Macaca mulatta: one gene and its partners. The protein of the gene in region 1 interacts with the protein of each later gene in a biochemical or structural test. Links are inferred from orthologs where the notes say so. Each region holds a gene or a part of one and is shown on either strand. Other genes may lie near its edges.

Region 1 (3,500 bases):
TTTGTTTTCTTATTAAAAATGTATTTCGTATTACACTTTTCAAAGTAGAGAAGGAAAAACTCTGGACACAGGTTGTATGCTCTTTATAAGGCTTCTTAATTTCATGATGAATTGCTGAAATCACACTTTTTCAATTCTTTAAAAGGAAGACAGATTTAGAATATAATGGAACAGTTAAATTTGCAGATAATGAAATAATACAGCCTTAAATAGCAACTTTACCTTCAAAAAGGACCACACATTTTTCTCAAATTCAGTCTGAGAAGCATCAATTTTTTTTTGGCAATAATTGATAAATCCTTGTGACTGCACAGCCTGCTGAAGTTGGTCTGACCGGCTGAGGAACTCCTTTTCTGTTACAACCTGACTAATGAACACATGGTGCTGCTGCTGCTGCTGCTCAGCTCCCTGATGAGAAGGCATTCTAACATTCTCAAATGTAACCAGTTTGCCTCCAAACTATAAAAGAGAGAATGAACAAACTCAGTGTTAACCCGAGGATATGGCCAAAAACAGTGCTTATAAAGTGGCCTAAACAGATAATCTGGATGAAATTAGTTGATACCACCTCTCATGCGCCACAGTCTGACATCACTTCAATTTCTGTTCTAGATGAAATGTACTTTTTTTTTTTTGAGACAGAGTTTCACTCTTAGTCACCCAGGCTGGAGTGCAAAGGCGGGATGTTGGCTCACTACAACCTCTGCCTCCTGGGTTCAAGTGATTCTCCTGCCTCAGCCTCCTGAGTAGCTGGGATTACAGGTGCCGGCCACACGCCTGGCTAATTTTTGTATTTTTAGTAGACAGGGTTTCACCATGTTGGCCAGGCTGGTCTTGAACTCCAAACCTCAAGTGATCCACCCAGATACAGAAGACCAGATAGGATGATGAGAAGATTAAGTAGATCCAAAGAACAAACTTATGAGTGACATAAAACATATTCGAAGGTCTATTTTAGGAAGATTAATCTTGGAATATGTAGTAAAGATTAGAGAGGAAAAAGACAAGCAACAAATATGCAATCAAGCTATTAGAAGTCTGGTGTGAAAGAATTAGGCAAAGTGTCAGCAATGTAAAAGGAAGAAAGAAACAAACAAACAAAAAGTGCTAGAGAGGATGTGGAGAAACTAGAACCCTTGTGCACTATTAGTGAGAATGTAAAATGGTAACGGTATAGAGGTTCTTCAAAAACTTAAAAATAGAACCATCGTACGATCCAGCAATCCCACTTCTGGGTATATGTCTCAAAAAACTGAAAACAGGATCCCAAAACGATAATTACAAACCCATGTTCACCACAGCATTTATTCACAATAGCCAAAAGATGGAAGCAACCAAAATGACCATCAAATGAAAGGATAAAAAAAATGTGGTATATATATATATATACAATGCAATATTATTTGGCCTGTAAAAAGAAGTAAATTCTGTCATGCTACAACACAAATAAACCTTGAGGACATTAAGCTAAGTAAAATAAGCCAGCCACAAAAAGACAAGTACTGCATGATTCCATTTATATGAGTAATTTAAAGTAGTAAAACTCCTAGCAACAAAGTAGAATGTGGTTACCAGGGATTCAAGGGAAAGAGGAAATGGGGAGCTGCTGTTCAAGGGCACAGAGTTTCAGTTTTGCAAGATGAAAAAGTTCTAGAGATCTGTTGCACAACAACATGTATATAGTTAACACTACTGTAGTATATATTTAAAAATGGTTGTAGTGTATATTTAAAATTGTTAAGATAGTAAATTTTATATTACGTATTTTTTACAATAAAAAAAGCTGACAATTAAAAAAGAAAGCTAAAAGGATGAAGAGGAGGGAGGACACTCCCTGTGAAAAGAAAAGAAAAGAAAAGAGAAGAGAAGAGAAAAGAAAAGAAAAAAAGAAGGGAGGGAGGGAGCGAGGGAAAGAGCTAGAGAGACAGAGAGAGAGAGAGAGAGAGAGAGAGAGAGAGAGAGAGAGAGAGAAGGAAGACACATTTAAAAAAAAGGGAGGAGGGCCTGGTACAGTGACTCATGCCTGTAATCCCAGCACTTTGGGAGGCCGAGGCAGGTGGATCACCTGAGGTCAGGAGTTCGAGACCAGCCCCAGTCAACATGGTAAAACCGCATCTCTACTAAAAATACAAAAATTAGCCAGGTGTGGTGGCGTGCACCTGTAATTCCAGTTACTCAGGAGGCTGAGGCAGGAGAACTGCTTGAACCCAGGAGGCGGAGGTTGCAGTGAGCCGAGATTGCGCCAGTGCACTCCACCCTGGGCAACAGAGCAAGACTCTGTCTAAAATAAAAAAATATTTAAAAAAAAAAAGTGGGGGGAGGAACATAGAGTGTTGGCTACACAACAACAATGTAAATGTACTTAATGCCATTGAACTGTACATTTGAAAATGGATAAAATGATAAATTTTATGTATATTTTACCATGTTTTTAAAAAAGGGAAAAAAAAGAGTAGGTTCCAGTTTTTCAGAGAAATCATTTTGAATGATGAAATACCCACAAATACATCTCAAATCCCAACTTAAACCCCGACTTCTTCCATCAGAGTGATCCTGTAATAACACTTTGGTATAAAAAGTCCTTTGTGACTATGGACCATAAAAACAAAATCCACCTACTGAAAAAGAAGCACCAACAGGCCTTCGAATCCACTTGGGCGGCTTCTTCAGAGGCAGCACTATACTATGCTGAGCAGTCTGCTGTGGAATTTGTAATGGAGGAAGGGGCTGTCCTGTGCCGAAGGGATCAAGATTCCCAAAAGATGATGAAAGCTAAAAAAGATTAATAACATGAGAATCTGACCATACACAAACTATCTTTCATTTTTTTCCAGTCATATCCAAAAAAATTTTTGATCACAATTGTCCAATTAACCAGCAATGTTAATCAGTGAAGTCATTTCAAAATATTACACAACATGTACTTTTTTCAGGCATTATAATAGAAAACTTTAACACTTCCTATTACCTTGTCAACTTGTTTCTGTCTTAAACCGTCTGTGCTTCCTCCCATGATAGAATAAACACTGATACGCCCATCAAACGAAGCAGCTGATAAGACAGCAGGATTTCGGGGACACCACTGAATATCGAAGCACCACTGTGTGTTGGTGGGAAGTTCATATAACACCTGGGCCAACAAAAAACAAACAACAACACTCAGAAAATGGTGGTGTGGGGAAAAGAAAGAGAGATCAGACTGTTACTGTGTCTATATAGAAAGAAGTAGGCCGGGCGCGGTGGCTCACGCCTGTAATCCCAGCACTTTGGGAGGCCGAGGCGGGCGGATCACAAGGTCAGGAGATCGAGACCACGGTGAAACCCCGTCTCTACTAAAAATACAAAAAATTAGCCGGGCGCGGTTGTGGGCGCCTGTAGTCCCAGCTACTCGGGAGGCTGAGGCAGGAGAATGGCGTGAACCCGGGAGGCGGAGCTTGCAGTGAGCCGAGATCGCGCCACTGCACTCCAGCCTGGGCTGGGCGACAGAGCGAGACTCCGTC
Region 2 (4,141 bases), on another chromosome or scaffold:
CCTTAGTTCTAACCCCCTACTCCCCTGACCTCCTCTCCAAAGCTCCTTGACAGTCTGGGTCTATCACACTCTCCGAGCCTTAACATCTTCCTTCAAGCAGTGACCATCTCCAGCTAGGGTCCTTACTCCCAGTTTCAACAGAGGAAACTGAAGGACTGTGACTTACCCAAGGGGAGTCAAGGCCTACCCCAGCTCACCTGCCTCCTTAATATCACAAGGGCCCCAGGGTTAGACCATACGTGGCTGAGGGGGAGGGGGGCCCAGGCTCTGTCCTCCAGTGTGGCATTCTCACTGCGCTTGTGGGGAACCTTCAGCTGCCCTACCTTGGGAAGCCAGAGACCTGGGGTCAGGGATGCTAGGAATTAGGTCTAGGGCTCTAGCTGCAGGAGCCTGGCTGAGATCCTTCATTGCCTATGGGGAATCTCCCTGATGGGACTTACTCAGGACCCCGGGGGATCGGTTTGGAAGGGGCAGTCCTATATAGGGGTTAGGGATGGCAGGGTGAGAGGTCCCAGCCTCTGGTGAGGGGCATTCCCTGGCCTCCTCTGCCCTGGTCCCAGTCCTTGGGTCCTGATGGGGGGACTACAACAAGGAAGCACTAGGACAGTCTACTTACTCCCAAGACATCACTCATCCTACAACATTCAACATAAGGCCAGTCTCACCCAGAGCCGCAGAGAGGCGGGTGAAGCTGTAGGTAGGTAGGTAGGTAGATAGATAGATAGATAGGTAGATAGATAGATTTTTTTTTTTTTTTTAACAAGAGTCTCGCTCTGTCGCCCAGCCTGGAGTGCAACGGTGCAGTCATGGCTCACTGCAACCTCCGCCTCCCGGGTTCCAGCGATTCTCCTGCCTCAGCCTCCCGAGTAGCTGGGACTACAGGCGCGCGCCACCATGCCCGGCTAATTTTTGTATTTTTAGTAGAGACGGGATTTCACCATGTTGGTCAGGCTGGTCTCGAACTCCTGACCTCAGGTGATCCGCCCCCAGCTCGGCCTCCCAAAGTTCTAGGATTACAGGCATGAGCCACCGCGCCCGGCCGATAGTTATATTAATCTTTCCTTTCGTTTATGGATCTCAGGAAAAGGGCAGACTTGGTCGGGAGAGTAGACCCACCAGAGCTTCAGATTCCAAAGCCCCCCTGGTCAGGGTCACTGCGGCAACCAGAGCCTCAGCCCTCTGGTCTCGGCGTCACTGGAGGATAGGGGCTGGGCCTCGGGAAGGCGGGGCGCGCCCTTTGGAAGGCGCGGAACTGTTGTGAGAGCCGAGCGCGTTGCTGCCCGGAGGCTCCTACGCCACGGCCCGGCAGCTTGAGGGCCGGGCGCCGGAAGTGAGCTATTCGGAGGCGCCGCCGGGAGCTGCCACGTCCGAGACCCGGAGCAGCCACCGCCACAATCATGGTGAGTGTTGGGACTGAGGAGGCCGAGCAGGGTGAAGGCCACGGTCGCAGCCCTCACGGGTTCCTCGGCCGTGCTGAGTCCCAAATCCTAAGCTCCCCTCCACCCACCGCTTAGAGATCTGGGGAGCTCTGGCCCCGTCCTTGCGGACCATTCCGAGCGGAGTCCAGAGGTGAAGCCAAAGAACCTCCCTGACTCTGCGGGGCGCGCCGCTGCCGCGTCTCCTGCCAGCCTCCTTCCTTCTCTTCCAACAATTGAATACAAAACGAGAAACAGCAGAGGAGCTACTCTATACCGAGCCCTCAGCATTGTTCGTAATCTCAGCCTGCTAACATGCTTGTGAAGAAGGTGCCATTCTTCTCAACACTTTACAGATGAGGACACTTGAGGTTCGGAGACGTGGAGCCTCTTGCACAGCTGCTTAAGTGGTAGAGCCGAGATTTGAACCCTTCTAACCATTCCTTTCTGCCGCCTACTACATCCCCTAGCAGAGATGATTGGACAGTTGCTCGGGATAGGGCCCCCAGGTAGGATGGGCACCTCGGGAAACGTGAAGATGGCCTGAACGACCCTCCGAAGGCAGGGGCTCAGGGTTTTTTAAGTCTCTGTGGCATCTGCAGTGTACATTCACTCCACACTTACTCCTTGAGTGAATGAATGACTGAATGAGAACTAAAGAATGGAAGTATCCGGGCTGAGCCTGGCATATCTAGTACATGCATTCTTTTAGAAACATGGGTGTGCCTCAGCAGCAGGTTTGAGGGAACCTGCAGGAACCTAGAAATCAGAACACTGTGTTCTTGCTCTGCAGAGGGTTAGGTGTAAATCACTCACCTCTGGCTCTTCCACTGCAGGTTAGAGTTGAGGCTCTTATGCTCTGACATTGAGCTCATCCTAAATGAATTTTTAACTCATTATCTGATTTCAAAGAGGTGAATTATTTTGAGTACAGGTGTTAACAGGGACCAGATAACACCAGGTCCCTGGGAAGAAGTACTCTAAGAAGTTAGTTCTCTCTCTCTCCCCCCTCTCCCCCCACTACCCTCTCCCTCTCTCTCCCTCTCCCCCTCTCCCCCTTCCTGCCTCCTTCCTCCCTCCTTCCCTCCTTTTCTCTCCCCCTCCTTCTTTCCTCCCCCCCCCCTTCTCTCTCTCTGTCTCATTCAGAAGCATGGTTCATCAACCGTGACTGGTGGGTGAGAGTGGTTAGAATTAAATGTGGATTATTTCTAAGGTCCTTTGGTAACACGGCTGAAACTACTTCTCAGTAAACTTTCTTCCTGAACCTACTTATCCTCAGCTTTACAGAACTCAGTGTAACAACTGCTTTACATTTTAGACAGGCAGCCTGGTGGAGTGAAGTTTTGTGGATTGGGAGTTAGAAGGTTAGAGAATGGGGCTCTTTTCCCAGTTCTGCCTTTACCTAGCTCTGTGACTTTGGCAAGTGCTTTCTCTTCTCTGGGCTTTTTCAGTTCCTTAGTCTGTTGTAGGTCTCTGATTGACTCTGCCCTTGGTACCCTGCCCTCCCCGCCTTCCCGTGCACTTTGTAACCTATACAGCTTGGCACATGGAGGAAACTCCTTATTGTCCTTACTTGCCTTTGCAGACTTCGGGGACCTGTTTTTTAGAGAGTCTAGAATTTGATGAGAGAACCTGTGCTTACTTGGTGTGTACCTCTTGAACTGCTTTGCAGCCATCCTCTTCCAGTGTCTGCCTTTCTGAAAACACAAGTCAAACTTTATACCTACAGGGCTTGTGCTGGAAAAGATGAAATGGGGAAAATGGTAAGAAATGTCTGTTCCACAATGAAACTTCTTTTAAGTCCTCTTTTCTGTCCCAAGAATTTAAGAGAATAGTGGTTGAGCAAAGAAAAAAAAAACACCTTTTGTTCATTTACTTATTCATTCAGCAAATAGTCACTGAGTTCCTTCTATTTGCAAAGCACTGTGCTGGAAGATTTGAGGGGATTTGAAACTGCAGATGGCTCAGACTGTGGATCCAAGGAGCTCACCTTCTAGTGGGGAGAAGAAACAGCATAAAATGTTGTTTGTGGTCAGTGCTGAAGATGTGCAAGAGAGTCCAGCCATTTGAGGATCTGAGAATCAAGAAAGGTGATGGGTGGCCCTTTTTGAGCTGGACTTCAGAGAATGGAGAGGAGGGTGATGACCATGACACCATGTTCCAGCCCTACAAACTGTTCAATCCTGGATCCCACTAGGTGATGGACCAGGGAGCAGCCTCAGGAAAAACTAATCAAGTCTCCCAGTCTGAAGTAATGACTTTGTTAGGCATAAACTGCCTGGAACATCAGAGGCTCTGTCATCCAGGAAAGGAACACCAGCTGTAGCTCCCTTGTGGTCTCTCCTCACCCTTAAGAGTAGCCAGGACTGCTTGCCATTTCCCCACACACATCAGGCTCTCAGACCTCTTTGTCTCTCCTCATGTATTCCCTCTGCTTGGCTGCTTGGACTGGTATTTTCTCCTGTGCCACCTGCAAATTCCTACCCATCATCTAAGGCTCAATTCATGTCTACCACCCCACCCCTCAGGCTCCTATGGGACACTCAAACCACCATTACAGAATTTATCTTGCCACACTAGCATTATTCGCGAGCTTCTCAAGGGCAAAAGTTCCTCTTTGTGTATCTAGTTCCTGGCACAGTGCTTGGCAAAAAGAAGGTACTTAGAATGAATGCTTACTGAGTGAATGAATGAATGAACGAACGAATGCAGTCGTTCGTTGAGAT
Region 3 (4,109 bases), on another chromosome or scaffold:
CTCCTCATCCCTCTGGTACTCACTTAAAAATTTTTAGACTTTAGAAGGAGAAAAGGCCAGGTGCAGTGGCTCACACCTGTAATGCCAGATGTGGCCACTCTGGGAGGCCAAGGTGGGAGGATTGCTTGAGCCCAGGAGTTCAAGACCAGCCTGGGCAACACAGTGAGACCCTGTCTCTACAAATAAATACATAAATAAATAAAATTAAAAACAAAAAAAGGAGAAAAATTGGAAAACAAATTTAAGAAATAGTAAAATCCAATAGCTGACATTTGTGTTTTACTGCATATTAAACTACTCTAAGCATTTTGTACGTTATTTCATAAAATAATCTTCACAATAACCTTAATAACCAGTTATTACATATTACTGTTATTCCTAACTTAAAGATGAGGAAACTAAAGCATAGTCATCTAAGTGGTAGATCTTATCCAGAATCTGCCAAAACATCACACTGTAAAAATTCACAATTATATCAAAGTTCTACTATTTTATTCAGTGAAATAAGACAACTAGAGTACCACGGGAGTTTCATTTGTGTGGGGCTAACTTATCACTTACCTCACTAGTGAACATGGCACAGAAGTAATCACTACAGGCAGCCAGCACAATCCGATGGGCAGGGAAATCCTTCTGCTCTACTCTCAATGTCACATCACAGAGGGTATTGCTCTTCCTGAGGGAGTTCATTGAATTGAGGATGGATTTAGCATGAGTATTTGTCATTATGTCTTTGGGGGCCATAATGCCTCCCATAAAGCAGTGCGGAGAAAAAACAAAATGGGTCCTTGGATTCTGAAGCTACAAGAGAAAAAAAACAATGAGCATATTCAAAGAACTAGGGAAACTGAACATATTTAATTAGTTTTACAAATTAAGAACCTAAGAGGCTTCCCTCAGACCCAAACAGACACAAGTTGAGGGCACTCCTATGCCTGGCATCACCACCACTATCTAGCCACTATCTAGTACATGTAAAAGTTCTCTCTTCTTTCTCTGAATTCCTCTACCACGGAGTGTCCCTACCACTTGACATTTATTATGATCAATGCTGAAACGTAAGTAGAGATAAACAATATATGTCCTGTAAATCTTCACAAGGTTCTTGTCTCAAATGACAAATTGAAAATATACAATTTCTTAAAGGTGTTATATCATTACTATTTAATATCCTTAAGTAGATAAGTATTTAGAGGCTGAGGATCCTGCTTTATATGTATGCTTTCTATCCTAGAAGTTGCACAATGAATGTTTACAATTTAATGTAAGAATAAGTGTGTATTCAACTTCAACTTAGAGAGAGAAAGGCCAGTCAGTAAAAATAAACTTTTTTCTAAAGAAGTAGCCAAATAATTATGTCTGATGACTTTCAGCTATATCTGGATTTCTTCTTAAAATGAAACTTCAGGCCAGGCCCAGTAGCTCACGCCTGTAATCCCAGCACTTTAGGAGGCTGAAATGGGTGGATCAGTTGAGGTCAGGAGTTTGACACCAGCCTGGCCAACATGGTGAAACCTAGCCTCCACTAAAAATACAAAAAATAGCCAGGTGTGGTGACGCGCGCCTGTAATCCTAGCTACCAAGGAGGCTGAGGCACGAGAATCGCTTGAACCCAGGAGGTGGAGGTTGAATTGAGATGAGATCACACCACCGCACTCCAGCCTGGCAATAGGGCGAGACTCTGTCTCAAAAAAAAAAAAAAAAAAAGAAAGAAAGAAACTTCAATTGACCTATTACCCTAACTGAATAGTGGAAACCACGCAAGTTACCGATGGACTTACACTTGCTTAAGATATTGAAGCTCCTCAACAAGAGGGTATTCCTACTCTATATCTGTAAATGTCCATTACTGGTTAACGAATCAATATTGGAATCCAAAACTTTCTGAAACGATCCGGCGGGGCGGGGGTAGGGGGACGGCAGGAAATAAAACTGTGGTCTCCAGAAGTTCGCAACTCACAAGTAATTTTTCAACAGGAAAAATGAGATCCTAAATTCTCATCTACTTCTGTTTATAGTTGGCATTTTACTCTATAAGCACTATAGATAATCCCTCCAACAACTGCATGACCCATTTTGCAGAAAAGGGGGTGATTCATCAAAGCATATGTTTTTCAAAAAGACTTAAGTCAACTTAGTTTCAACTCTAGGGGTGCAAAAAGAGTCTGGAACAAACGTCCATTTACAGTGAAGACAGCCTGGGGGGTGTTTTATCGTTTCCGTGCCAAAATGACAGTACCCCTAGTGCAGAGTGGCCTTCCTTCTAGGGGATTCCTGCCTCAACACTCCAAGTCTCAGCATATCCTTCACCCTCACCCTTCTGAAGTGACCTATTTTCTAGAACTTCCGTTAACATCTGAATAGAGGGATTCCACTTCGGGAGATTCGGGGCAGGAATGGGGTAGTAAATTCCGGAAAGACTACATTCTAGAGAAGGAAACGAACTCCTTCCTTCTGATACCACCAGGCATATGACCGGCGCCGCCAGATGGAGGTATCGCAGGGGGGCAATTCAGGGGAGAGTTGAGAGGGCGACTGAGGCCAGATGCCCCGCCCCCCCGCCAGCCTTCCTCCTCTCTCCGGCATGTCTCCCATTCCGCCTTACAGGGAGACCAAGGATGGGGGGTAGGGCCATAACCCGGAGTTGACGGACAGGAAGGGAAGGGCTGACTGCCATCACTTCCGCGCAACTCACCTCCGCTCCCGAGCCCACACAGCAGCGCCGGGCCCGTCCCCAGCCTGTGGGGATGGAGTGGGGCGCGGGGCCAGCAGGCGGCTCAGGAAGAGCCGAAGAGCCGCCGCCGCCGCCCCCACCCGGAGGCTCTGGAGGCTCTGGAGCCGTCCAGGTCTGGTCCCTGCGGCCGCGCGACGTGATGACGCAATGCAGCTGGAGCACCGCCCTCCTCCCGCTCGAGTCTGCGTCACGTGAAGAGGTGGTGTCACGTGACCTGCCTGTACCCTGGTGCCGGGCCTCTGCACGTTGCTAGGAAGCCGAATTAGAAAAAGGTCTGGTGGGCAGGGCATGGTGGCTCACGCCTGTAATCCCGGCACTTTGGCAGGCCGAGGCGAGCGAATTACCTGAGCTCCGGAGTTCCACACCCGCCTGGGGAACACGGCAAAACCCCGTTTCTAAAAAAAAAAAAAAAAAAAAAAAATTAGCCCGGCGTGGTGGCCCCGACTGTAGTCCCAGCTACTCGGGAGGCTGAGGCAGGAGGATCACTTGAGCTAGGCGCAGAGGTTGCAGTAAGCCAGAGTCGCCACTGCAGAGACCCTGTTGAAAAAAAAAAAAAAAAAAGTCCGGGCGTGGTGGCTCACGCCTATAATCCCTGCACTTTGGGAGGCCAAGGCGGGTGTATTACTTGAGGTCAGGAATTTGAGACCAGCCTGGCCAACATGGTGAAACCCCATCTGTACTAAAAATACAAAAAACATTAGCCGGGCGTTGTCGCACGCGTCTGTAATCCCAGCTACTCAGGAGGCTAAGGCAGGAGAATCGCTAGAACCCAGGAGGCGGAGGTTGTAGTGAGCCGAGATCGCGCCACTGCACTCAAGCCTGGGCGACCGACTGAAACGCCGTCTCCAAAAAAAAAAAAAAAAGAAAAAAACAAAAAAGGCCGGATGTTGTGGGGTCCGGCAGGGAGCCTGGGAATGTATCTACAGCTCAGCGACTGTCTGAGCCTGAGTTCCTCCCTACTGCTCACGAGGCAGGGCACACAGAGAGAATTCCAACGCTTAATATGCCAAGCATCTGATTGCAGCAAGTATGTTTTACCTTCCAGGTACTGAGAAACTTTTTGACATCGAGAAAACCCACAGAGGCCTCAAATTTTTTCACGTCCATTGTCCACAATGGCCTTTTCGTGCCGAACAACGCTGCGGCGATAATCCTCTGAGCCCTGCGACCCACAGACCTCAGTATATACTCTGCATCATAATGGTCCCTGTCATCACCGCTGAATTGATTCTAAGGAAATTCTAATTGATTCAGTAAATTCTAATTGATTTTGGTGCACTTATCTTAGTGACTGAAAAGGCAAAGAGGTTAATTAGTTCAGCTTATCTCAGTGTCTAGACAAATTGTGTTTGGTAATACTATTTTCCTCTGTGAG

The links. The genes of interacting proteins can lie anywhere in the genome.
Region 2: the proteins of SEC31A (region 1) and SEC13 form a complex in vitro, tested with the Homo sapiens proteins (2 studies listed by BioGRID and IntAct, with this or other methods). The link is inferred for Macaca mulatta from reciprocal best matches to the Homo sapiens genes SEC31A and SEC13.
Region 3: of the proteins of SEC31A (region 1) and KLHL12, one has a biochemical effect on the other in vitro, tested with the Homo sapiens proteins (3 studies listed by BioGRID, with this or other methods). The link is inferred for Macaca mulatta from reciprocal best matches to the Homo sapiens genes SEC31A and KLHL12.

The regions. Positions count from the first base shown.
Region 1 is NC_133410.1:50,915,231-50,918,730, reverse strand, and holds part of SEC31A (protein transport protein Sec31A), read right to left. Parts: intron 3,131-3,500; coding exon 2,969-3,130; intron 2,773-2,968; coding exon 2,620-2,772; intron 460-2,619; coding exon 223-459; intron 1-222. UniProt on the Homo sapiens protein: Component of the coat protein complex II (COPII) which promotes the formation of transport vesicles from the endoplasmic reticulum (ER).
Region 2 is NC_133407.1:149,175,576-149,179,716, reverse strand, and holds the start of SEC13 (protein SEC13 homolog), read left to right. Parts: upstream 1-1,341; 5' UTR 1,342-1,397; coding exon 1,398-1,400; exon of another isoform or gene 1,401-1,924; intron 1,925-3,000; exon of another isoform or gene 3,001-3,037; coding exon of another isoform or gene 3,038-3,178; intron 3,179-4,141. UniProt on the Homo sapiens protein: Functions as a component of the nuclear pore complex (NPC) and the COPII coat. At the endoplasmic reticulum, SEC13 is involved in the biogenesis of COPII-coated vesicles.
Region 3 is NC_133406.1:60,591,088-60,595,196, forward strand, and holds the start of KLHL12 (kelch-like protein 12), read right to left. Parts: upstream 2,801-4,109; 5' UTR 2,696-2,800; exon of another isoform or gene 2,668-2,695; intron 839-2,667; exon of another isoform or gene 802-838; coding exon of another isoform or gene 757-801; coding exon 562-756; intron 1-561. UniProt on the Homo sapiens protein: Substrate-specific adapter of a BCR (BTB-CUL3-RBX1) E3 ubiquitin ligase complex that acts as a negative regulator of Wnt signaling pathway and ER-Golgi transport.